7 linked regions of the Bombyx mori genome follow. Each later gene encodes a partner of the first gene's protein in a complex. Links are inferred from orthologs where the notes say so. Each region holds a gene or a part of one and is shown on either strand. Other genes may lie near its edges.

Region 1 (2,787 bases):
CGGTAATGAAATAAAGAAATTTAATTGAATATGAAGTTCGTTAACATAAAATAAGCATGGCATATACAAAATTGCTGATTATATGATCATGACTTTGTATTTTAAAATTTCCTTAAGCGCCTTATTCACGATCCATCTTGCTGTACGTCCCGCCAAGGCCATGCACGATGCACGATGCATTTAGCGCTTTATTCACGATCCGTCACGGCTGTACGTCAGCTCAAGACCGCAGTGCTGGATGTATCAAGCGCGAACAGAATAAATCGAACGAATTAAATGAGGGTTTTAAGTTAAAATGCCAGCTGCTTTATCAAAACGCCAAAAATGGGAGTCCTTCTGATGTTGTCAGCAGCAGCAGAAGAGAGGCAAAAAATAGCAAGAGGTTTTGGATGATTTTTTTAAACGTGCAGAGTATACTCAAATAATTAATATCATTTTTTACGCACGCTATCAATCCTTGCAGCTTCCCCTAAAATGGGCCTAAAAATTGTAATACGTTTATTATTTTTGGTTTATTCATATAGTCTGCGCTTGAGACATTCCACAAAAATGTGGAACTTATAACTTTCAATAAATCTTGAAAGGGTTTCACGATCCATTTTGACGTGCAGTCTCCTTTCGAAACTCTTCGTTAACTTTAATTTCAGTATTACCACCGTCTTTTTACGATTTCATCAATGTCAGTGTCGAGTTAAAAACTGACATTTAGTGGCCATAATTGTTTGTTGAAATAATACTTTTTGGCGGGAACGCGAGGAGTGAAGTTGTGTGATTTGTTTTATTTTGTCTATTTATTTAGTGTTTCTTCAGGTTGAAATGTGTAATAACGGTGGTTTATTAACTGTGTATTATCTGTGAAAGTGTACAAATGTGGGAAAATGAAACAAAGCCGCTGGATGTAACTTCTCGGGATCCTCCAAAAAGTCCACTGAAAAGATCTCAGTAAATGACCACCATTTTACTGAGATTATATTATATTTCATCCCATATCATCTCATTTCATTTTATTTCATCCCAGTCGATTAATGTCCCAAATTAATCATTTTCATTTCACTCCATATTATCATTTTTCATAAAATTAAGAATATAAATTAAAATAAGACATGACTTACAAGTCTTAGTTACCAGGTCACAAAATTCCTTACAAAAAATTGTTGAATTAAAAAGCAGAGTCACCATAGACAAAATAAAGCGTCGACTTAGCGTGTGTACGATAGTTTTGCTGTAATTGTAATCTTTTTCACTCAATTTCTCAGTTCACAAGCCCATAAAATAATACAAAATGTAAGTATTAATATGATTTACGTAGTTTTAACAATATATTTAACATATTATCTGCTTAGCCGGTAATGGTCAACAATAACTCTAATGTTAACCTTATTATAGGACGTCAACAACTAAGCCACGCTCTGAAATGACCCTAGAAGAGCTATCTAAAATCGAAGAGGAAGAGTTTAGTACCGGACCTCTTTCCGTGCTCACGCAGTCAGTAAAGAACAACACACAAGTTCTGATAAATTGCCGTAACAATAAGAAACTCCTGGGTAGAGTGAAGGCTTTCGACCGGCATTGTAACATGGTATTGGAGAATGTTAAGGAAATGTGGACTGAGGTACCGAGAACTGGCAAAGGAAAGAAGGTAAACAGATGTTACTGTATTTCAGTTCAATTGATTCAGAAATTTGAGGTTATGTATTGGAAATAGGAACCACTCCCAAGCGCTCATGTATAAAAGTGCTACAGCTCCAACTTGAAAAGTACACAATAAGACATGATGTCGCGTATTTTAGGCCAATATTAGCGGAGATAAAATACAAACCACTGGAAATTCCCAAGATGACAATTATGTGGATATGAAACATTCTGTGTTAGCTCATTTCATTAAAACTCTTCAAATTCAAAATACGTATAACTTCTGGTTTTATTTTCAGGGCAAAGCTGTAAACAAGGACAAATTCATCTCCAAAATGTTCCTCCGCGGTGATTCTGTGATCTTAGTACTAAGGAATCCTCTTGCTACAGCTGCAGGGAAGTAATGCAGTAATTAGTTTAAGTATTAATGAATAAAATATTCAGGAAATGAATAGCTTTACTGGTTCATTCCTTAAACTGTAATAATACTTTTACAAAATTGGAAACTGTGTTAGTTCTATGATTCTGCAACTATATGTAATAAATAAACAAACTCGATATTTTAATATATTGAAATTGTATCAAGTTCACATATTGTAAGATAAAGCTAAAAACGATCAGTTATTATAATGATGCATTAAAAGAGTCTCACCAGTATTGTTGTTAATATTAGCATAAAATAACTTCATATTAGTGGCTGAACATACCAAAATTGAAAAAAAGATACTTACTTTTGGTGCAAGTAGTAACTAACAATTTTGTAAAATATAGATGCTTTAACATTTTTAAAGAAACATGGCAAAATTACAATGGTCAAGAAGTCCACAAACCTGTCAATAAGTTTATAATTTCTATAATAAACCAAAGTGTAAAAGTGTGTTTTTAATATGATTTTTTTCATAGCCCCTTATTAATTTGTGCAAATTAGATCTGATGTACATCATGGGATTAAGCTGTGCAGTCCAGTCCAATATTTTGTTAACATGTTGGTTTCATGACAGACACTATGAGTCCACAGCATACTTTCCCCTAGGGTAAAAAAATGTAGTGTTTTTTCAAAAATATTCTCAAGAAATTACTCAAAAGTAATGAGTGAGGTATGGAAACAGTGACTAAGTATTGTTTTCTGAGATATTTCAAATGGCAGACAGTGTC
Region 2 (3,500 bases), on another chromosome or scaffold:
CTAAGACCTTTAGGTTATGTCTTATTTTAATTTATATTCTTATTTTTATGAAAAATGATAATATAGAGTGAAATGAAATAAAGATGATTGATTTGAGACGTAAAAAAAACTGGGATGAAATAAAATTAAATGAGGTGAAATATAATCTCTCTTTTGAAGTCGTCGTGGCCTAACGGATAAGACGTTCGGTGCATTCGTGTTGAGCGATGAACCGATGTTCGAATCTCAGGCGAGTACCAATTTTTCTAATGAAATACGTACTCAACAAATGTTCACGATTGACTTCCACGGTGAAGGAATAATATCGTGTAATAAAAATGAAACCCGCAACGGCTTTGTTTCATTTTCCTACATTTGTGCACTTTCACATATATTAAACAGTTAATAAACTACTGTTATTACACATTTAAACATGAAGAAACACTAAATAGACAAAATAAAACAAAACACACAACTTCACTCCTCGCGTTCCCGCCAAAAAGTCTCGATTGTTGTGGATAACATCTTATTTCATAATACGCGCGATTGTGGAGACCATTTCAACATATTAGCTGGCTGCAACGTCTAGGCAGTACCAATCGGAACCTATTATCGCTTCGTAGCAGAAATAGACAGGGTGATGGTACACGTCTGTGAAAGGTTAAAATTCTCGGAAAGTTGTTCTATGTTAATTGACACAGTTACTCGAAATATAGTATATAAAACAGATTTTTTTTCATCATCATCATCATCATCATCAACAGCCCACAGTCGTCCACTGCTGGACATAGGCCTCTCCCAATCTACACCACTGAGCCCGGTCGGCGGCTCTCCTCATCCACTTCTCAGATTTTTTTATTCAAATGTAATTAATAATTCCCCTGGTTGATTTATTCGAATCTAAATGGTACTAAGTTAATTGAAATAGTACAATAAATTTCCCAGTAACAAATTTAATATTTCTGAAGTGAAAACATTACATAGCTATGTAATAAATATTTTAATTTTAAAACATTTTTATATTTAACTAGGTGTACCCGTCCGCTACGCTGGGCATTTAAAATTAACATTACTATTTCTCACCCCCACAAAGATTCTCATCATTAACGCCCCCGCAACTGGTGTAGGGAGTCCAATACTCATATAAATATTAGCCTATCCATTAAGTACATGTATTGTCTACATGGATACCAAGTTTCATGTCGATCGGATGCATGGTTCAGTAGTTATAACGGAACATCCGTAAAAACCACTGTAGATTTATATATTAGTATAGATTATTAAATACAATATTTGCTAACGAAGGACATTAAATGTATTTTTATAGGTACCACCGCCGTGGTTGATCGCGCAGCAGCGGTACGGGCCGCCGCCCTCGTACCCGAACCTCAAGATCCCCGGCCTCAACGCGCCCATACCCGAGGGGTGCGCCTTCGGCTACCACGCCGGGGGGTGGGGCAAACCGCCCGTCGACGAAATGGGAAAACCGCTCTACGGAGATGTCTTCGGACATCAGACGAGTGGACAAGATGTGAGTTGGACTTTGTCATACTTTTTTTTTTAATCCTCCTTTGCTGATAGCCTTGAGAGGCTATATCAGCGTCGCCTTAACTAGTAGGTGAGCTCACGGGGCTCAAACCTGATGAATTTTGTTATACTACGTTGCGGATGAAATATTAATGTCGTGTGGCAATGATAATAAGGCTCAAACTCTTGCAACATATCCGTAGAAACTTTGACTTTTTCAAAGATGATTCCTTTTTTTTTCATTTCTTTCCCCTATTAAATATTACAATAAACTCATATTAAATGTTCTGTGCAAATCTCTGAATAATTTTCTGAATTAATCTCATAATTGTCAACATCACATAATAATTAATTGACCGTCTATCTCATATTAAATGGTTACCAGAACCTGTAGATATCATAACGAGAATTCTCCTACCCCCTTTGCGTACATACAAGACTAAAGTCTCAATCATGTGATACCTCATATTGCAAATTGAAATGCACAAATGAATTATCTCATAATAAGTACATAATGTTAATGTAATTTATTGTTTAATCTTAATTCTCTAGGACGGCGAAGACGTGGACATCGACAGGACAATGTGGGGCGAACTGGAGTCTGAATCAGAAGAAGAGTCGGAGGAGGGTCAGTATTTGGGTGCTCTTTTTTTCTTTGATTGCACGTATGCGGATCCCTCGGAATGATTTGCAAATATTGCACTAATAATAAATTAATATTCAACCCTTACAACCCTTATCGAGGGGCGAAAGGTTATTTGCTTCAAGCGACATTTCGCAAATTTACAGGAGAGCCATTTAAAGTTTTAAACTGGGAAAAGATATCATAAAAAATCAAGCTTTTTCAGCTATTTGAATGGAGTAAACTTAATTGAAGTCCAAAACATCGAACTGTTGATGCTAATATCAAATAAAACGCATCTTTAATTGCAAAGATAAATGAGTCGACTATTATCAAAGCCGGCAATCTGACTTTTGGATAATTATTGGTAAATCAGAAAAACGAATTATTGACTTTGTATTCCATTGGCAGTCACAAAACTCTTCAGAAAGACATCTTAGATAAATAACAGGTTAACTATTAACCTTTATTTAATGCAGGTTTTGAACCGTATTCTTTGAAGGAGACGATTATATTCAAATCAATCTGTATTGACATATCAATAATTTTTTTTTGTCCAAATGCACAGATTGCCACCTTTGATAATAGACGACTCAAATGTCGCTTACACCAAATAGCCTTTTACCCTTCAAGGTGGGCTCCCGGCCCGTCGAACGTGGCAATCCATAGCATATCACATAGATCCCGCCGGCGACACGACCGCCGGTCCGGCGTCTGGGGTACGGCGGGATGGATGTAATCTGTTATGCGTAAACCCTGTCCCGCCGTCTCAATAACTCCAACTGGGCTCCGGCCTGGTCCGAGGTAGGGCGCCGGCTGTGAGCGGCAGGAGTTTTTAGTGAGGTTCAACTCCCACATAACCCACCCGCTGCGCGGATGGGGATCCGGCGATTTTCTCCTGTGGAAAAAAGCCTTTGATATGTAAATAATAAGAAAATACGTTTTAAAATTTCGTTAATTTTTCACGAATTCATACAATTAATGTAAATCTATTTCTTTCTTCCCGATCCGGAGTACTACGACTTTGAACCGAAATCATTAATATTTTTTTTAAGTGATTTTATGACCTGGTAACTAAGACCTTTAAGTCATAAAGTTATTAATTCATTGTTAGTGCGATATTTGAAAATAATTCCGCATGGCGATTAATCTGTCAAAGTCGAATAACATTGCAATGAAAATGGTGAAAATTTCGTCTTGAATGTATGCTGTATACAGAGGAATCGGGCGAGGAGGGCGAGGCAGAGATGGGCGGGGTCGGCACTCCCGCGGAGGGACTCGCCACGCCGCTCGGACTCAGCTCCGTGCCGCCCGGACTCGAGACTCCCGACAGCATTGAACTCAGGAAAAAGAAATTGGACTCCGATCTTGA
Region 3 (3,245 bases), on another chromosome or scaffold:
TGAGTGATGATTTATGTAGTGGGCTATGGCAACTACTTAATACCAAGTAGGCAGTCAGCTTTTTTCTTCATCCAGAGCAATACAAAGTGTGCAGCAATTCGCAAAATGTAGAAGTGTAACCTGTAGGAGTTTTCTATCTCGTTCTCTCACAGACTAGATACTATAAAATAATATGCATCTCTTTTTAGTCACTTCTAGAGCTTTAACTATATTAAAATAAGGTTGTATTATTTACTTTTTAGTTTCAAATCATAACCAGAATGAGAACCAAAGTTTTTTTAAATGAAAATTGTTTTTGCGAATGAGGTTGTGTTTTTAAACGAATTTGGAATCTAATACCCAAAGGCCAAAAAAGAGCAAGAAGGAATGGGGTAAAATACATTGAAGATCATTAGATTTCAATATATTTCCCTGTTTTCACATGCTCATTTTTTGCAAGGACAATATAAATCGCAAACCTTTTCTTGTAAAGTTAGTGTTGAGAAAATAAAACAAGGTTATGGTGAAAATTTACTTATAATTAATTATACAAGTTATGGAATTCATGCTGAAGAGGTTGTTTCAGACATAGTTATTAAAAAAAAAAAAGTATTAAAGTTGTTTCATTTAAACATTGTATACAACAATAGTTCCAATTAACATTTTTCTCCTCAATCATTAGTATTTCGGGATATATACCTAAGGTAATTTTACTGCTAACAGAGTAATATGAAATTTCTATTTTTTTGCTTAAAATTTCCCTTTTGCCTGTTATTCTTAAGATAATTCCTTATTCTAACTTATGTAATAATTACTAATTATTCTTTCATTTCTCCTTCTTCATCTTCTTCATCAGCTCCTCTTACATACAAGACATTATTGCATCTTATTAAAACTTCACCTAAATTACCTGGAAATAAAACCCAATACTTAAATTAATAGGGTTCTTAATTTAGTGTTTTGTATGTATGGACTAACAGAACTAACTGAACTAGTATTCAAAACAAACGCCGTTAAAGCTTTACAGAACTCTGCTGATATGACTTCATTAAGTTTGATGTAGCATGGACTGAATTACAATAAAAAAGATTCTTAAAAAAAAATATAAAAAAAAATATTTAAATGTTAAGATTTGATTTCTAAATTTTATTTACTAATTTAAATTAATTAAATTCACAAAACTATTCACAACCAAAAAGTTTGGTTTGGAATCTTGTAAGTGTCAAGTTGTCTCTTGTTATGAAATTTATTGATTTTGTGCATTCTTTGTAGCAAGTACTTTTTTTTTCTTTAAAAGGGCAAATGAACCCCATGACATTTAGTGTTAAGTGGCTTCTAGAATTTATAAGTTTATTACAATATGAATATTAAATCTACTCTTCAAAGCAGAATGCTTGAAAGCTTTGAAGTCGAAATGGGTGCAGAATAGTGTACTCATAATAGACCAAACAAACAATGAACGTCTCATTTTTAATTCAATTTTGGTCCAGGTCCACTACCAGTAGATCTTAATCTCTTGCTTTAATATGTTTTCGTGATTACTTAAAGTTGTTCACTTAAATACTAACCTGTACAAGTTCCATCGACAAGTTCTTCAGTATTAGCAAGTTGCAAATTCATGTAGCCATCTGTTGATACTAACAAACCTTTGTATTCATGACCCCATTTTAATTTAACTAGCACGGATTTACCCGTTAGACTATTAAGAAATGGTTTGGGATTTATTGGCATAGCAGCCGCCATTTTTGCAGGTTCTAAAAAGTAAATTGGATGTTAATTCATTTTCAAACCACCTTTATTGTTTTCATTGCTTATTTAAGAAACATCAGTACTTACTTTAATATCGGCTAACAAGAAATACAAAATATAACCTCAAAATGTATCGGCTTCGCTTCGAGTTCGACGCTAATTTCTACTCATAGATATTTTTTTATTTTTTATTTATGAAAGCATTGAATTTGCAACACGGCCATCAGCTACTCATAGATAATACACCACCATAGATAAAACACAGGTAGTTTAAAATTTATTATAATTAGTTCTTTCTAGGACTTTTCGGCGGGAACGCGAGGAGTGGTTTGTTTTATTTTGTCTAATTAGTCTTTCTTCAGGTTTAAATGTGTAATAACGGTGGCTTATTAACTGCTTAACTGTAACTGTGAAAGTGCACAAATGTGGGAAAACGAAACAAAGCCACTGAACGTAAGTTCTCGAGATCTTCCAAAAAGTCCACTGAAAAAGTCTCAGTAAATGATCACCATTTTACTGAGATTATACTTCATCCCATATCATCTCATCTCATTTCATTTCATTTCGTTTTCATTTCACTTCATGCCATGTTTCATATTATTCAACTTCATTTCATTTCTATAATTTTCATATAAAAAAGTTACGTAACATAAAATTAAAATAAGACTTGACCTAAAAGTTTTAGTTAGTCCAGGTCATAAAATCCCTTTAAAAAAATGTAGTAAAAAATTAATAATAGTATGTATTTCATCTTATTATTATTGAAGCCCAGTTGAAAAAAAAACTACAGAAAATGGTAATTATTTTCTTTAATTTATATAAACATAAAGTCCTGAGAAGTCAGGTCCAGTGATTTTGTTATATTTCCACAATCTTTTACACTTTCAAATATGTTTAACTAATAGAGAAGGGCTTGTAGCGACTAAAACGACACACCTAAGCTGAAAGTTCTCAACGTATTTGGAGGAATTCGCTATTGATAAAATGTGAAGAGAAGAAAAAATATGTGAAAAGCTTCCATAAAACTATATATTAGCAATAAAAACATTTAGATAAGTTTGTTTAATTAAAGATGGTATGAACGATCTTTGGCCTAACTAAAAACCATCAAATAATTGAAAGTAGAGTCGGTTTTTTTATAAAACTATTTTGGGAATAGAAAACGAGAACTTCAACATTGTGTGTTGAAGTGCTTATGCTGAGAGTAGAGCTATAACACCAAACCATTTTAAAGACAAAATGTACATATTGTTAAAATAAATGTTAAATGGATTCGAATAATTAAATGGGCGAAACACTATTTCAATGGGTTTTTGGCTTAAAAGACCAGAATTCAATCTAACGTGATTAAAAAAGTTCCAATAACGTCAAATAGTCAATGTCAAAGTAGTGTTGCAGAATAGTAAAAATTTGATGTGAATCAGTGTTGAATCAATGAAAATATAGATTTTTACGTTTACGATCTATCTATGAGTTTTGCAATTTTTTACATTAATGCACCTTATATGAAAAACATA
Region 4 (4,141 bases), on another chromosome or scaffold:
CATAATAGAATAATTCAAGATGATTTATTAAGTAAATTTCACATCAAGCCCCTCAAAATCCAATGCAATTGCATTTAAGTGATTATCTTCCAACTGCAGGCTGCTTAATTTAAGCAGTAATACACACAATTTCCACATACATATACACAATAGTTATGTGTCATTAGAAAAAAAAAACTTTATCTTCCATGATATAATCTAAAGAGCACCCAGACTATAAAACATAATAAATAATCATTACATAAACATTTTCATGGCTTAGTCCCTATTTGTACTAATAGCACATTTGTTTGCTCATTAATTGGCCCAAAAGAATTGCATAGAACAAATACGTTTTGTTAAAATAGTAAAGAAAATGTTGTACAGTCTGTGTTGACTTAAAGACAGACTGCTATGAAATTATAGATATTTTATAAAATTATAATTGAAAAGGATATAAATTATGATGGGGACTGCCTGTGCTACTTTCCCCACCTCCTCATCCGTCTGCATTATCTTCTTGATACGTCCCTACAAACAAACAATGTCATGATTTCACTAATCTCAGACTTTTATACATGAAAACAACACATATTTTAAGGTTTTTGAACATTTTTTAAGAACTTTTGAACTTACTGGTGGAAATCTAGCATTGTATTTTCTCTTCTTCAACGGCATTTTGTATGTACGTTCACTATAACACCAATTAAACAGGAAAAATAGTTAAATTTGTCTATAGAACTATTACTTCTCGCGCATTTTTGAGGTTATAAAAGGGAGACGTTCGCAGCCTACTTCATTTATATACGAATTTGACAGTTCGTCTCCACCTCTTTTTGTGACCATTTTGAAACATTGAAATTTTGAACATTAAAATTCATTGCTATGGCGATAATGATAATATTTTTTTCATTTTAAACTCTAAAGACAGTCCGAAAACATATATTTCGAAAAGAATGATGACTTGTGATTGTGAATAATTTTGTTTCAGTCAAGTTAAAAAAATCGTTCAGAAATATCATTTTAAAAACAGCATCGAGAACTATGAATTTTTATTGCGAATTCCTTCAGGATTGATAACAAAAAAACCGTTCAATGATCAACAACAATGGTACTATTTAATGTATAGGCGAAATTAAATAACAAAAGTTGGTTCGGATGTCTACCTTGCTGACAGTGTACCTTGATTTACATAATACGTCTTGTGTTATTTGAAAAGACCCCCTCAGCATTAGTTTACAATCTCTGCGGAAGAAAAAATCAAACTCAAATTGTCTTTCATTCATTTTATCACAAAATTAGATTACATAAAAACAATTCCATTCCATTTTTCAGACATACGACTTTATAACAAAAGATCAGATTGAAGGATAGTTCTCTTTACTATCCATTGGACGAATCGTACAGAGAAATAAATCAAATGTCAAAATAAATGAACAATGTCAAATTAGTGAAATGTCTACGGTATTTCAGATTCAGACATAAAAATGGCGTCGTTGTCGAGGTGTGTTTTAAATGAAAACAATCAACTTAAATACTTGAAATTGAATATACAATAAACGCCGAAATTAAATAATAACTGATTAAAGCTACTAGTTAAATTAACTATTGTAAATAAATAATTTCATACGTTTACGTATTGACAAACTGACCGTGGTTCACGTTTCATTTTTAGCTTGTTGCCTGCCCCTAGTCAGCAAGTGTGGGATAGAGATGATGAGTTGAAGGCTAAACGTGTCGGGAGTGCTCTTGTAGTGTCCCAGACCAGTGTGCCACCTTACGGTGAGAGGAAAGGATGGGTACCTCGAAGAGACGAAGATTTTGCAGGTCTGTTAAATTTTGTAGATAAAAAAGTGAATAACCCCCGAAGTGAGAATCAAGTCAAAAAGTAGGTTTTTATTTGAAGTCGGAAAAAGAGTATCATCATCGATTCTATTCATACAATAGCATGTTTACTTCTGACGTGTGCTTATCCAGATATTAATCAGTAGTTGTGGCTTTCATATGAATTGAGAGACGGGAATAACCCCCGAAGTGAGAATCAAGTCAAAAACTAGGTTTTTTATTTGAAGTCAGAAAAAGAGTGTCATCATTGATTCTATGCATACAATAGCATGTTTACCTCTGACCTGTGCTTAACCAGATATTAATCAGTAGCTGTGGCTTTCATGTGAATTGAGAGACGGTATGCCGCAGGGTGTTGGAATCTGGATACCGAACTAGATCTTTCAGTAATTCTGAATGTCATTCTTACATAAAAAACCAGGTTATTATAATTAAAGTGGTTTTTGTGACATAAAACTACATAGCCTAATAATATAATCTTAATAATAAAATACATAGCTTAGTAACTATTGTGATGGCTTGGGATACAGGTGTATACAAGCTTGTGTAATGAAATAAATGTAAATTGTAATAATATATTTACAGTAAGAACTTGCTTAATGAGTGATAATATACATTCCATCAAAGTAGAGTTTAATATGAAACAGCATTAAACATAATCTCATAATGTAAATAATGGGGTTAGGTTAGATAGAAAATTGGTGAGGTATATAACATTAAATACCTCACCAATTTTCTGTCTATCTTTCTCCTATAAAACAATAATCTATTTCTTACAAATATAGAAACAATAAATGAATATAGTCTGTATGTTTATGTTGTATTTCAGTTCATACAGTTTCTTCTGTATTGCCAATTTTCTGCCTTTATTTTGCCAGGTGGTTGGATGTGCTAACAGCCCACGTGATGTTAAGTGGTTACTGGAGCCTATAGACATCTACATCGTAAATGCCACCACCCACCCTCAGATTTGTGTTCTAAGGTCTCATCTTTAACTACGGCTGCCCCACCTTTCAAACTGAAACTCATTAATGCTTTATAGTGTAAATAGGCAGGGTGGTGATACATCCCCGTGCAGACTCACAATACGTAATACCACCAGTAATTACGCATTATAATTTTGTGGATTTGATTATTATTATGTGATGTTATTCCTTCACAGTGGAAATCACTTGTGAACATTTGCTAAGTACGTTCATTGGAAAAATTGCCAGATTCCTTATTGTTGTCGTTGCCAAATTTAATGCAGCACCAATTTCAGATTGACATTCACCAGTATCTAATCTTCTATTAGCTTGCATCTAGTTTCTAGGGAAATAGTTTTTCTTGTTGCTTTATTTTTGTGTTTTTGTTAACACCCATGATAAAAACTTAAAATAAAAATATTTGTCACTTTATCAATCATTGTATCATATAAATTTGTACTTACAATAACACCAACAAATGTTTGAAATGATAAAAATATGTTGGATAACACTGCAGGATAGGAAAAACACAGAATAATTTATTCTGATATCGGGAAGCCTAGTGCCGTGTGCAATTTCAGGTCTTCTTCAGGCAAATCTTACAATTCAAATAAAAGAGAGTTAAACTGAAATCCCACTGAACGAGTCAGCATTATGTCAGGGTCTTACTGTACTTTCAAATTACACCTAAAATTAATTATATACGCAGTATTGCTTCAAAGCTTGTATGTTTTAGATGGCGGAGCATTCCCAGAGATCCATGTGGCACAGTACCCGCTTGGTATGGGAATGCGAGGCAAGGAGAGTACTTCAAACGCTCTTGCTGTCCAGCTGGATGAGTCTGGGAGAGTCAAATATTCTGCGATTGCCAGACAAGGACACAGCGCTGACAAGGTGATCAGTTAATTATTTGACATGGTGAATGAGAACACAATAGATATTATTGTTGAAGTCCTTGATTACTAAACACTTAGATATGTAAACACATAATAGGCTGATTAGAGAAATAATTTAAAACATCTAACAAGTTCTGTGAAGTCTGTTAAAAATCTCTGAATCTTTATTTATTTTAAAAGTTTTTGACTGTAAATAATATGTCTGTGTAGAATAATTTAAATGTGACCATTGATGTCATTGTTGGAAAAGGCGCCTGTTTAGTTGAATGAACAAATATTATGGTACCATAATTATTTCTGCACAGATTTCAATTTTGTATCATATAACCAGTCATCTAAATGGATCGATAACTTAACATTAAATAATATTAATTGAGAAATAAGCAGTAACATAGTTTGAGCATTTCCTGAAACCATCTCTAGGAAAGTATTATTGGAAATTTTTCCAACCAACAG
Region 5 (4,010 bases), on another chromosome or scaffold:
CATCAAGATGACATTCCACCGCTCCGCTGGCCACTTGGAGTTATACAAGAGGTGTATCCAGGTGCCGATAACATTATACGCGTTGCTTTGGTAAAAACGAAATCTGGATTTCTTAAACGTCCAGTTGTAAAATTATATCCGCTACCGCTAGAATAAATTAGAGTACCGCATGTCATCAACCGCTTCAACTCTACTCGTAAACATTCATGATGGCTTATTATTAATTAAAATTTGTTTCTTTTCAAATAACTTCCCGCTATTTAAGCTTTATGCTTCCTATCTTAGTATCTTTATATATTTGTTGAAAGTCCTGCGAACTTTCAAGGCGGGCAGGATGGTCACGCGGATTTAGTAATGGGATGCTAATGAATTATTGGGATGGCGCCACCTTTGGAGTTTGTCAGTAACTAATTACCGCGACTACCCAAAGCGTGGTTCTACCCGATCGATCACGCTTTACCGCTAGCTGCCTAGATGGCGGCACTTGTATATTGTGTGGTGCTTGAGCTTACGAAAAGCTACGTGAGCTTCGTCACCCCCTCCCGCCGCCCGCGTGCTTCCATCGCCGACGCCCGCACGACAGTCACTGGCAAGATCTACAGGTGAGTGCAAGTTCTTTTAATTTATTGCCATTTTATTGCTGCTTCGTGTAATCATTCGCCCGCCCGCTCGCTTATGTGTATTTAATTTATATCTTTAGTTTGATTACTAGCTTTTGTTTACCGCTATATAGTTTTACCGCTCCGCTAATTATAAGTGACAAACATTTGTCACATACCGCTTAGGACGGCTATTTACACGCCTTTCTACAACCCCGCTTTATATGCTCCCGCCGCAGGAGGGCTATTTACACGCCCCCTTGCTACCCCAAGCATAAAGCCTAAGCACCTAGCTTTTTTTACAAATGAAACTAGGTCTATTAGGCTATGTACAGTGAAATGTAATTTATTTAGAAAAATGGTTGGAATTAACTAAGATTACATTTAACTTTTTGCAAAATCTCAATAGTTATACCCTGCGATGCTCTTGCATTTTCAAACCGAAAGGTAGTACTACTTTACGGCAGGAATAGGTAGGGTAGTGTTGTCTGCCTCTGTGGACTCGCAGACATCCTACCATTCCTACCACCAGTAAAGTTGATTTTCACAATGCTAAGGGAATTAAAAATCATAATGGATTTTTGGTAATATGGGTTATGTTGTCTTTGTCTGTCAATGAATGAATAAAAATGTCTATTGTCTATGCACGGAACTCGCCGCCATATTACATTAGATGTCTATGGATTTGAAGCGTCTAATTTTTTTGAAATATTCTTTCCCATTTTTATCGTAAATAATCTAAGAAATAATACTGAATTATTGTCCTTTATCGTACGTTTTTCTTAACTAAAACGTAAACATGTCTATCGGTGTGCCTATTAAAGTACTTCACGAGGCGGAAGGTCATGTAGTGACTTGTGAAACAAATACCGGTGAAGTTTATAGAGGGAAATTAATTGAAGCTGAGGATAATATGAATTGCCAAATGACTCTCGTAACAGTCACATACAGAGATGGCCGAGTTGCACAGCTCGAGAATGTGTACATCCGTGGTTCCAAGATCAGATTTTTAATATTACCGGACATGTTGAAGAACGCGCCAATGTTCAAAAGACAAGGGAATAAACCTACTGCAGGACGAGGGAAGAGTGCGATACTGCGAGCCCAAGGTATTGAACAATATAAAAATAGTGTGTATGTGATTTGTTTATCGAGCTAGGTATCCTAAATGTTCTCTCGCATCACATACGTAGTGATTGTGTTCATTATCAACAAGACAACATACGAGTGTTAATATATGAATGAGTGCTGTCTGACTTGCAGTCTAATTACATCTAGCACTGAAATTGTGAATATGCATTGTTCTTAATTTCGTTTAATTCAAAGACTTAAAAAAGAATAAACATCTTTAGCTTAGAACAACCCATTTCTTTAGGCTTGTTATAAATTAGACTTGAGTGAAGTCTATTTAACAATTACTGCACTATATAACCAAATTATTAAACGAAAATTTCTAAGTAGAAAACGTATGCAAGTATGAAAGATAAGCACATTTAATTACAATCAATAAATAGCCTTCATTAAAATTAGTACAAATGCATTGAATACATAGTGATCAATTGGGTCAAATGAGCAAAAAATAGGTAGTTTGAAGCTTTGATTTTTTAAATGTCTTGTTTGTTTATATCCTGTATAGATATTTTTTGTCACAGTTTTTTAATAGTAATTGAGAATATTTTACAATTTTTCATTCTTGAGTGCTTATATAGACATACAATGTCAAATTTGCAATTTTAAGTTTTGTAATATCAAATCAGTATTTTGTTCCAATGTTAATTGTTTCTAATCATTCAACTATATGTTATTGACAATTTTACTTTGGGTGGTTAAAGAAAATATGTGAATGATGAGACCATGTCAAGTACCTAATGCACACAATCTCACACATCTAAAGTAAAACCTATTTTACATAATGTTATGCAAACTAATAACTGTATCTATTACATTTGTGAAAACCCATTCTTGTGTATTTAAATAATTACGGCAAATTTCTGTTGCTAAACAGGAATGTGAATTGATTTGACGGGCTGGACAGTAACTACAATACATTTGAGCGATCAAATATATGTATCTCTTCATACTCATCTCAAGTATCATGCCAACCAGCATCCTTATTTTGATGTTTGTGGGCCACAGTAAATCATTAATCAAGTGGGTTGTAAGCTTACTCACACATCTAGAGGAATCAAGAAGTAAAATACAAATCTTTGAAATTTTCAGCTGCTGGTCGAGGACGAGCAGGTGGAAGAGGTGGGGGCCACCGTGGAGGCTGGCAAGGTGGGTCAGGACCATCTCGACGCTAGCGTTAAGATATTTTTTAGATAGCTTAAGTTGTACTTGTCTTATATTTCAATTGTCAAGGAATTATTTCATTATCATTCTTATATATTGATATATCTAAGTGAGAAAAATACAAATTTTGGAAATAGAACAACTGTTTGTTCAAAGATTATTATTATGTTCTCAAATGTAACAATAAGGTCCTGTTCCAGATTTTCTGTTTTTTTATTTTGGTCACCCTTCAATCTGCTTTACACATCTTAGGTCTCATGGACCATTTGATCAAATAGACACTACACACTGATGCTACCCTATGGTGACTTATTGTGACTCCCAATCAATACAATGTTTAATCTCTATGTTCTATCCTTATATCAGTCCCAATAATCTAGAAATCTTGTCCATATGATGGGTAATAGTTCAATCTTGTTTTGGCTTGAGGAAATATCTATGTGTGGTTTATGCGGGGGTGACTATTGTAATTAAATATAAAAAGTTATTATAAACTGCCTTGTACAAACCAAACTTAACCAATGGCCGAGTTTTGACAATGTTTTATCCATATAATTTTGAATTTTTTTGCACTGTAACTGGAGCCTATAGACTTTATGAAGGCCTGCACCTACCATGAGGTTTGAGATCAAAGTCCCAGTTGTACTGTTTGGGATAAATGCTGTCTTAATGGGCAAATTGGAATGCTTCGCAGCATAAAACCTGCAACAATCATGCATGTTTGTTAAATGTGTGTAACTCGGCATCTTATCCTTTAGGACACGACAACCTCTTATGCAAAATATTTTTAATTTGAATGTTTTATGTTCGAATTTAGATTAGTTACAAACAGTGTAACAAGTTTACTGAGACTGTCAGCAGATATGTGATAGGATGTGTCGTTGTGGGTGTGAATATCAAAAGATTGAAAACAAATAAAAAACAATTTGGATAATAACTAGTGTTTTTATTTATGAGACACGCAGTGTCAACTAACTATAATTATTATTAGTCAAATTCCACTGGCCACTACTGCTTCTGAGATAGTATAATAATAGAAGTCATGACGGCTTCACTGTACAGACGCACAGGACAGTGGTGTCTAACCATACAAGCTCACACTGCACATCAGCACCTCAG
Region 6 (4,210 bases), on another chromosome or scaffold:
TTATAGTGATCACATCTTTAAGAATTCAACTGAAATACTGCAGGAGTAGAAAATGTTTAAGTCTGAGTAAAACGGCTAAAATACATTTCGGTACCAAAAACTTCAATATACCATTGTCATACTTAAAAAAATATGTTTTCATATTATATTATCATCATATTCAAATTACTCACAGGTGTTGTATCTTGTACAATTTGTGAAAAATAAATGAACCCAGTATGAGGTAGAGCTGTTGCTTGCGAGAAGCCTGACAGTGTCTTCTTCTGTTGCCCGAGAGGTAACACATTACACGCTGGCATCTTTGATAATTTAGACAATCCACCGGCCACACCAAGGATTTTTGCTGCTGTTGATGCTCCTGAAATACATAGTTTTGATAGAAATTCGCAGGTGGTACAACATATTGTAAGCCCGCATGGGTAGTTTTCATTGTCTTTGGATATTTGTGCCATGAAGCAGTTAAGTTCTGGCTTGGATGGTGTGATGGGTTATAAAATATAACTAAGAGCTTGTGGTGCCATTGTGCTTACTATGGGCTTCGATAACCACTTATCACCAGGATAATTCTGAACTCATTCACACATACCCTTCAATTAGAAAAAGTATTCATTTAATATGCTCACATTCATTTAAGAAATATTCTATTGTAGTTGATTAACAACTACCAATATATCAATATGGTTAAATATTTTGTCGCGAGGGGGATTAGTTAAATTATTTTAATGTCTAGACCATTGGAGGGTGGCTTGTTAAACGTAGAACCCGAGCACTCTCAACAAATTTTTGGATATAGTTTTAGTATAAATAAGGCCATCCAATGATGGACAAGAACAGAGTGCAAACTACCAGACAGGTCAGACCTCCTGAGCATTGTAAAAAGGGAATAAATTGCTACAGAAAAAACATCTCGTTCTAACAACAGATCGTTTCTCTACTTTGCCAAGCAAATGTTATTTTAAAAGGGTTACAATTTAGAGTTCTGATGCACTTACAATCTGCCAGGCTCAAAAAATGCAGAAAGAGGCATTTGGTCCTTCTAATACTCTGCTATTTTGGAAATTATATGATGAGGGGAATAATTGCAGTTGGCTAAGGGTGATTGCACAATTGTTACCACTAATCGTTTTGGGAGTGTTAAATAGAATTTATATTAGTAATTATAGGCAACAGAATGTATCACTTACCAACAATGGCAGTTATGTTTGGTGCAATAAAAGTCATTCTACTTTCAACATACTCATATATTTGCGATTTGAAATTGTTCAGCTCACTTGCCATATCACAGGCCTCATTGATTTCTTCTAGTTCAATTTGGCTTAGTAATTTCCTGTCAAATGATTGAGTTGTTTAATAAGTAACTATTTTACACAAAATGTTCATCAAAATAAATCTTCAAAGTCCCTGTTTTGTACTCTAGTCCACTATAATAATTTAAATGAATTTGAAATGTTGCATTTCTACATTTTTATTTACATTTATTCTTTCTTCTTCCTAGTCGTACAGTCTTAACAGAGTGGTTGTGGTCATGTATCAGTCGAATTCTGCGATACCAATGCTCTCGCGTTGCAATGACATGTGGCACGATGTTTCTCAGAGTGAGTGCATTGATTTATATTAGCAAACAAAATAGACCACAAATAGAAAACAAATAAGAAGCTAACCCTTGAGTTGTAGATGCAGTAACAGAAACAATCATAATAGTGGCCTGAGTAAGAAAACTCTGTAATATTTCATTATTCTTAGCCCTGTCCAAATCATTGCCAAGTTCTTTCACTGTCCTTATGTATTCCAATGGAGTGATGATTAGAGATTCCAATTCAGGAAACCGTTTCTGATATTTGTCACGGACAAATCTGTGAATAATAGCTGAAAATTTGCATTTCTTGACTTTAATATTGTAAGCAGTAATAATTAGACAACCAAGATAATAATTTCATGAAAAGAGAACTATTAACACTACGTTCAATCATAAAAGTTCAATTCTCTGAAACTGTTTTAATAAACAAATCAACACATGAAAAATGGAGATTGGAATGCATACCTATTTCACCATCAATTTCAACAGCAACATTATTTGCTTCCACAATCAGTTGATACTCAGGGTCAGACTCCATTAAGCCAGCAACTTCAACCTTATTTCTGTTATTTCCAGCATTACATTCTATTTCACTCATAACCTAAAAGTTGTTTACATGAAAAATTGTAATTTATATTTAAACTGTTCTTCAAGAAACTTTATTAAATACATACACGTTTCAGACGATCAGAATATCTTAGTTTCGCGAGTTCTCTTATCGAGACATTCTTGATTTCTTCTTCTTTAGGTAAGACGGGATATGGAACTGCAAAGTCGTATTCTTCTTTGGTTTTGCTCTCGATAGCAGCTTCGAGTTCACCATCGTCATTTTCTTCTAAATCAGCAAGTAATTCGTCAGCTAGAGACATGCTTCTGTAGAACTAAATTGATTTTCTGAGTGTTAAGTTTATGTGTGAGCTTGTTCTGTTTCTATTGTATTCTGTAATATTCTACAATTATTACAGTTTTTTACTCAAATCGACTTTCACAGCTATACAGTATATTTCATTTAGTATACATTATAGATATTAATTTGATTTTTTAGTCAGCGATGTCATTAAACTTCAATAGTTTGTACCCAAAACTAAATGATTTACCTACCTATGTACCTACGGCGACTAATATTTGCAATAGTTAATTTGAAAAGTAAACAGAAATGACAGTGACAGTACGGTACTTGACAGTAGTAAGTAGTACCGTACCTACCTAGTATGTAGTAATTCCATTTTTCCAAGTATAAAGACGAAGGTATCATACGATATGTTTATTCATAAATTATAGATTCTCTTTCATGGAAATGATATGAAGCTAAATGAATTTAAGTTGATTAACTGGAGATATTCATTAATAGAGATGAAATTAAATGAAATAAGATGAGATGATATGGGATAAAATATAATCTCAGTAAAATAGTGGTTAGATATTTATTAAGACTTTTCAGTGAACTTTTCAGTAGATCCCGAGAAGCTGCGCCCAGCAGTTTTATTTCATTTTCCCACATTTGTGCATATTCATAAATACTAAATAGTTCATAATTAACCACCGTTATTACACATTTAAACCTAAAGAAATACTAAATAGACAAATTAAAACAATTCACACAACTTCGCTCTTCGCGTTCCCGCCAAAAGGTCTCACAGGACGGTGACTTTTGATTGTTTTTTACAATTTAAAAAATACTGAAAGCTGTAATGAAATAGTCTTGGTTTTTTTTTTAAGAATTGAATCAAATTTATGAAGATTTGGAGAAATCGCAACATAAACAAAAAACTAAGATAAAGCTCATGAGAACCCTTATCTTCTCCATACTCTCGTACGCTTCTGAGACGTGGACCCTCAAGGCCCGTATCCGATTGAAAATTGACGCATTTGAAATGTGATGTTGGCGCAAAATGTTGGTCGTATCATGGACGGAGCGCCGAACAAATGTATCAATTCTCTCGGAGCTAAACGTCAAGACCTGTCTATCTACGATCTGTATGCAGCATCTCCTCAAGTACTTCGGACACGTGACCTGACGAAATCTTGACAAATTGGAAAAAATAATAATTGTAGGTCACGTGGAAGGAAAGAGAGCTCGAGGAAGATTGCCAACCAGATGGACGGACATTGCCAAGGAAGCCACAAACACCAGCGTTCCGGGTGCCATTCAGCAGGCCAAATGCAGGCAGCATTGTAGGAAACTAGTGCAATTAGACCAAGGTGGTCACGACTCATGATCCACAGTAATGAGGAAGCGACGAAGAAGAAGAAATGTACTTTTAATCTGAAGAATTACGTGGATCAAGTTTGACTTATTTTCTAATAACAATTGAAAAATATATTACAGGATTTTCCTAAAAAGTACGTCAGAGCATTAGATTTTAATACTTTTAATCCATAATAGTGGAAACAGCTCAGCTTTAGTAGAAAATAGTAGTGTTGTATGATCTTATACCTCTTAGACACTACATTCAGAATCATTAAAAAAAAATATGTCATAACTGTCAACAAGCAGAATAAATTTTCAAGCCCCTTTTCGTCAGTTCGTCACATCTTGAATTTTTCGGCTGGAATTGGGCTTTTTGTTGGTGGTGTGTAGACGCCTAATATTTAAATAAAGTTAAGTGAACACCTTCCTATTCAATTTTTTAG
Region 7 (2,433 bases), on another chromosome or scaffold:
AGTTTATTACTTATCTATACATAAAACGCACCAAAACTTTGTGGAGTTATTCGTGAAACTTTGAAAATGTCGCAAAGAAAAAGAAAACAAATTAATATTGAAGAAAAATCACGTATTTTGTAAATATATTTTTCCAATAATTCCCTATCGATTTGTTTGTACTTGCACGATACACATTAAACATTACCGGTTGTTACGACTATCGGTTTTTACGACTGAATATGAGCAGTCCCTTCGATGTCGTTATAACAGATTTTGACTGTATATATATAAGGCTAAATGGAAATCAAAACTGATTTCTTTGAGATAAAACAATATGAAACAAGTTTGTATATAAAAATAAGATTGTCAAACATTTGACCATTGAACCAATTCTAAACTATAAACTATACCTGTTATTAAAATTTGTAGTTTTTATTGATAATAGTTGAGTTTTTGGTGGTACTATTTGAATAGACTAATTGTGTTTGTTAAAGGTTATAGAAATGAAAACAAACTGCTCGAATTTATGTCATGATAAGGGATTCAAAGTCAAATAATAAGTAAATTAGCTTAATTCTATTTTTAAAATCGAAGCGTTTAATCTTCAGGCTTTTCTGGCGGTGGGCCGCATGGTTGAAGCATTCGTTCCATCAAATTGAATTTTACGCGCGCTTTAGATTCATTTTCTACGATCGCAAAGTAACTCAACAAATCCGGATGACCCATGTAACTGCAGCAAGAGTCGCGATGTTGGTTCATAAGCCATTCATATTTTGTAGTGTCGGCGTGGCCTGTGCCTATATATTTGCTCTGTAGATGTTCAAGTTGACTGTGAATGTTGTATCTTTCACCCATTTTATTCTGTAAATTATTTTAAGGTTATAGTTCGAGTTAGTAATGTCATTAATGTAAAATTAAATGGTTATAAAATAAATAAAACGTTTCTAATAAAATATACACACTTACTTTAAAGGCAAGATGCTTGTTGAAATCGTATAGACTCTAAAGTTTATATTCTAATTCAGCTAATATTGATATCACGTAGCAGCCCAAAACAAAGAGTATTCATAGACAATACATAAATTGCAGTGCAGATTACTGCAGACACGGCGTATCTAAACCATAGATACAATACTTAACGTTGAAATCTAAACACCAAAGGTTGTGCACAGTTTTTTTTATTATTTCTTTCACTGCATCTTTCACAGTAAGTTCTTAGATCTGTTTACATATCATCTGGTTTTGAAATAAGCTTTCATCTTTTAACGAAGCTTGGGAAGAGCCCCGGCAGTGGAATTAGTCTTAGTCTATGCTTCTGACGTTGACGTTCATCAGAGACGATCGCCACTTATTATTAAGTGGGACAGATACTCGTTTGCCGATAATGCTGACCAAAACAGTTGAGTACAGCTGTGTTGTCACATTTTCCTATACTTGTGGACTTTTAGAGATACTAAACGGTTACAATTTTTCATTAATAGCACGTTTCAACAAACAAAAAAACAGTAAGTTAACAAAATTAACTATTAACTACACTTCTACAGCTCACGCAACAAAGTTATTAAAGCAAAGAGGTTAATAAAAGATAAAATAAAAAGTAAAAAAAGGTAAAGGAAGGATAGAAGTCGTCGTGGTCTAACGGATAGGACGTCCAGTGCATTCGTGTTGAGCGATGCACCGGTGTTCGAATCTCAGGAGGGTACCAATTTTTCTAATGAAATACATACTAAACAAATGTTCACGATTGACTTCCACGGTGAAGGAATAACATCGTGTAATAAAAATGAACCCCGCAAAATTATATTTTGCGTAATTACTGGTGGCAGGACCTCTTGTGAGTCCGCGCGGGTGGGGACCACCACCCTGCCTATTTCTGCCGTGAAGCAGTAATGCGTTTCGGTTTGAAGGGTGGGGCAGCCGTTGTAACTAAACTTGAGACCTTAGAACTTACTATATCTCAAGGTGGGTGGCGCATTTACGTTGTGGATGTCTATGGGCTCCAGTAACCACTTAACACCAGGTGGGCTGTGAGCTCGTCCACCCACCAAAGCAATAAAAAAAAACCCGTGAGATATACATAATTACAACCACGCTAGATCAGCTGCATCTATCATGGAATCTTAAGCTCATCATCATCATCATCATCATCATCAACAGCCCACAGTCGTCCACTGCTGGACATAAGCCTCTCCCAATCCACACCACTGAGCCCGGTCTGCGGTTCTCCTCATCCACTTATCTTAAGCTCACAGGTATTTTAATTAAGTGTATTTTCTATGCTCACAGTTACATATCAACTTAGAGTACTTACAAAGTACACTCTAGGGTACGTTGATATCGTCGTATTTCTAAACTCTTTGGTATGTTGTTATGTTGATTAATTGATCAATTTAAAACCAGTTGCCATAGAAAATACACTACCGTGTTTATTCAATATTTTTGATAAACTTA

The links.
Region 2: small nuclear ribonucleoprotein sm d2 (region 1) and splicing factor 3B subunit 2 share a complex: the UniProt entries of both Homo sapiens proteins name them as parts of the minor spliceosome. The link is inferred for Bombyx mori from reciprocal best matches to the Homo sapiens genes SNRPD2 and SF3B2.
Region 3: small nuclear ribonucleoprotein sm d2 (region 1) and small nuclear ribonucleoprotein protein F share a complex: the UniProt entries of both Homo sapiens proteins name them as parts of the SMN-Sm complex. The link is inferred for Bombyx mori from reciprocal best matches to the Homo sapiens genes SNRPD2 and SNRPF.
Region 4: small nuclear ribonucleoprotein sm d2 (region 1) and puff-specific protein Bx42 share a complex: the UniProt entries of both Homo sapiens proteins name them as parts of the minor spliceosome. The link is inferred for Bombyx mori from reciprocal best matches to the Homo sapiens genes SNRPD2 and SNW1.
Region 5: small nuclear ribonucleoprotein sm d2 (region 1) and small nuclear ribonucleoprotein Sm D3 share a complex: the UniProt entries of both Homo sapiens proteins name them as parts of the SMN-Sm complex. The link is inferred for Bombyx mori from reciprocal best matches to the Homo sapiens genes SNRPD2 and SNRPD3.
Region 6: small nuclear ribonucleoprotein sm d2 (region 1) and U4/U6 small nuclear ribonucleoprotein Prp31 share a complex: the UniProt entries of both Homo sapiens proteins name them as parts of the U4/U6-U5 tri-snRNP complex. The link is inferred for Bombyx mori from reciprocal best matches to the Homo sapiens genes SNRPD2 and PRPF31.
Region 7: small nuclear ribonucleoprotein sm d2 (region 1) and splicing factor 3B subunit 5 share a complex: the UniProt entries of both Homo sapiens proteins name them as parts of the minor spliceosome. The link is inferred for Bombyx mori from reciprocal best matches to the Homo sapiens genes SNRPD2 and SF3B5.

The regions. Positions count from the first base shown.
Region 1 is NC_085132.1:3,762,098-3,764,884, reverse strand, and holds small nuclear ribonucleoprotein sm d2, read left to right. Parts: upstream 1-1,206; 5' UTR 1,207-1,282; coding exon 1,283-1,284; intron 1,285-1,386; coding exon 1,387-1,639; intron 1,640-1,931; coding exon 1,932-2,036; 3' UTR 2,037-2,287; downstream 2,288-2,787. UniProt on the Homo sapiens protein: Plays a role in pre-mRNA splicing as a core component of the spliceosomal U1, U2, U4 and U5 small nuclear ribonucleoproteins (snRNPs), the building blocks of the spliceosome.
Region 2 is NC_085131.1:3,909,943-3,913,442, forward strand, and holds part of splicing factor 3B subunit 2, read left to right. Parts: intron 1-1,306; coding exon 1,307-1,510; intron 1,511-2,058; coding exon 2,059-2,134; intron 2,135-3,346; coding exon 3,347-3,500. UniProt on the Homo sapiens protein: Component of the 17S U2 SnRNP complex of the spliceosome, a large ribonucleoprotein complex that removes introns from transcribed pre-mRNAs.
Region 3 is NC_085117.1:15,790,773-15,794,017, reverse strand, and holds small nuclear ribonucleoprotein protein F, read right to left. Parts: upstream 1,894-3,245; 5' UTR 1,816-1,893; intron 1,734-1,815; 5' UTR 1,723-1,733; coding exon 1,548-1,722; intron 890-1,547; coding exon 798-889; 3' UTR 501-797; downstream 1-500. UniProt on the Homo sapiens protein: Plays a role in pre-mRNA splicing as a core component of the spliceosomal U1, U2, U4 and U5 small nuclear ribonucleoproteins (snRNPs), the building blocks of the spliceosome.
Region 4 is NC_085130.1:3,027,660-3,031,800, forward strand, and holds the start of puff-specific protein Bx42, read left to right. Parts: upstream 1-1,341; 5' UTR 1,342-1,466; coding exon 1,467-1,483; intron 1,484-1,654; coding exon 1,655-1,806; intron 1,807-3,525; coding exon 3,526-3,683; intron 3,684-4,141. Other genes in the region: uncharacterized protein LOC101746654, read right to left, coding at 438-510, 616-657. UniProt on the Homo sapiens protein: Involved in pre-mRNA splicing as component of the spliceosome. As a component of the minor spliceosome, involved in the splicing of U12-type introns in pre-mRNAs.
Region 5 is NC_085122.1:328,611-332,620, reverse strand, and holds small nuclear ribonucleoprotein Sm D3, read left to right. Parts: upstream 1-1,210; 5' UTR 1,211-1,398; coding exon 1,399-1,708; intron 1,709-2,819; coding exon 2,820-2,902; 3' UTR 2,903-3,828; downstream 3,829-4,010. UniProt on the Homo sapiens protein: Plays a role in pre-mRNA splicing as a core component of the spliceosomal U1, U2, U4 and U5 small nuclear ribonucleoproteins (snRNPs), the building blocks of the spliceosome.
Region 6 is NC_085116.1:12,784,479-12,788,688, forward strand, and holds the start of U4/U6 small nuclear ribonucleoprotein Prp31, read right to left. Parts: upstream 2,801-4,210; 5' UTR 2,678-2,800; exon of another isoform or gene 2,458-2,677; 5' UTR 2,446-2,457; coding exon 2,251-2,445; intron 2,178-2,250; coding exon 2,042-2,177; intron 1,867-2,041; coding exon 1,662-1,866; intron 1,328-1,661; coding exon 1,185-1,327; intron 359-1,184; coding exon 174-358; intron 1-173. UniProt on the Homo sapiens protein: Involved in pre-mRNA splicing as component of the spliceosome. Required for the assembly of the U4/U5/U6 tri-snRNP complex, one of the building blocks of the spliceosome.
Region 7 is NC_085126.1:5,965,730-5,968,162, forward strand, and holds splicing factor 3B subunit 5, read right to left. Parts: upstream 1,109-2,433; 5' UTR 949-1,108; intron 844-948; 5' UTR 838-843; coding exon 580-837; 3' UTR 501-579; downstream 1-500. UniProt on the Homo sapiens protein: Component of the 17S U2 SnRNP complex of the spliceosome, a large ribonucleoprotein complex that removes introns from transcribed pre-mRNAs.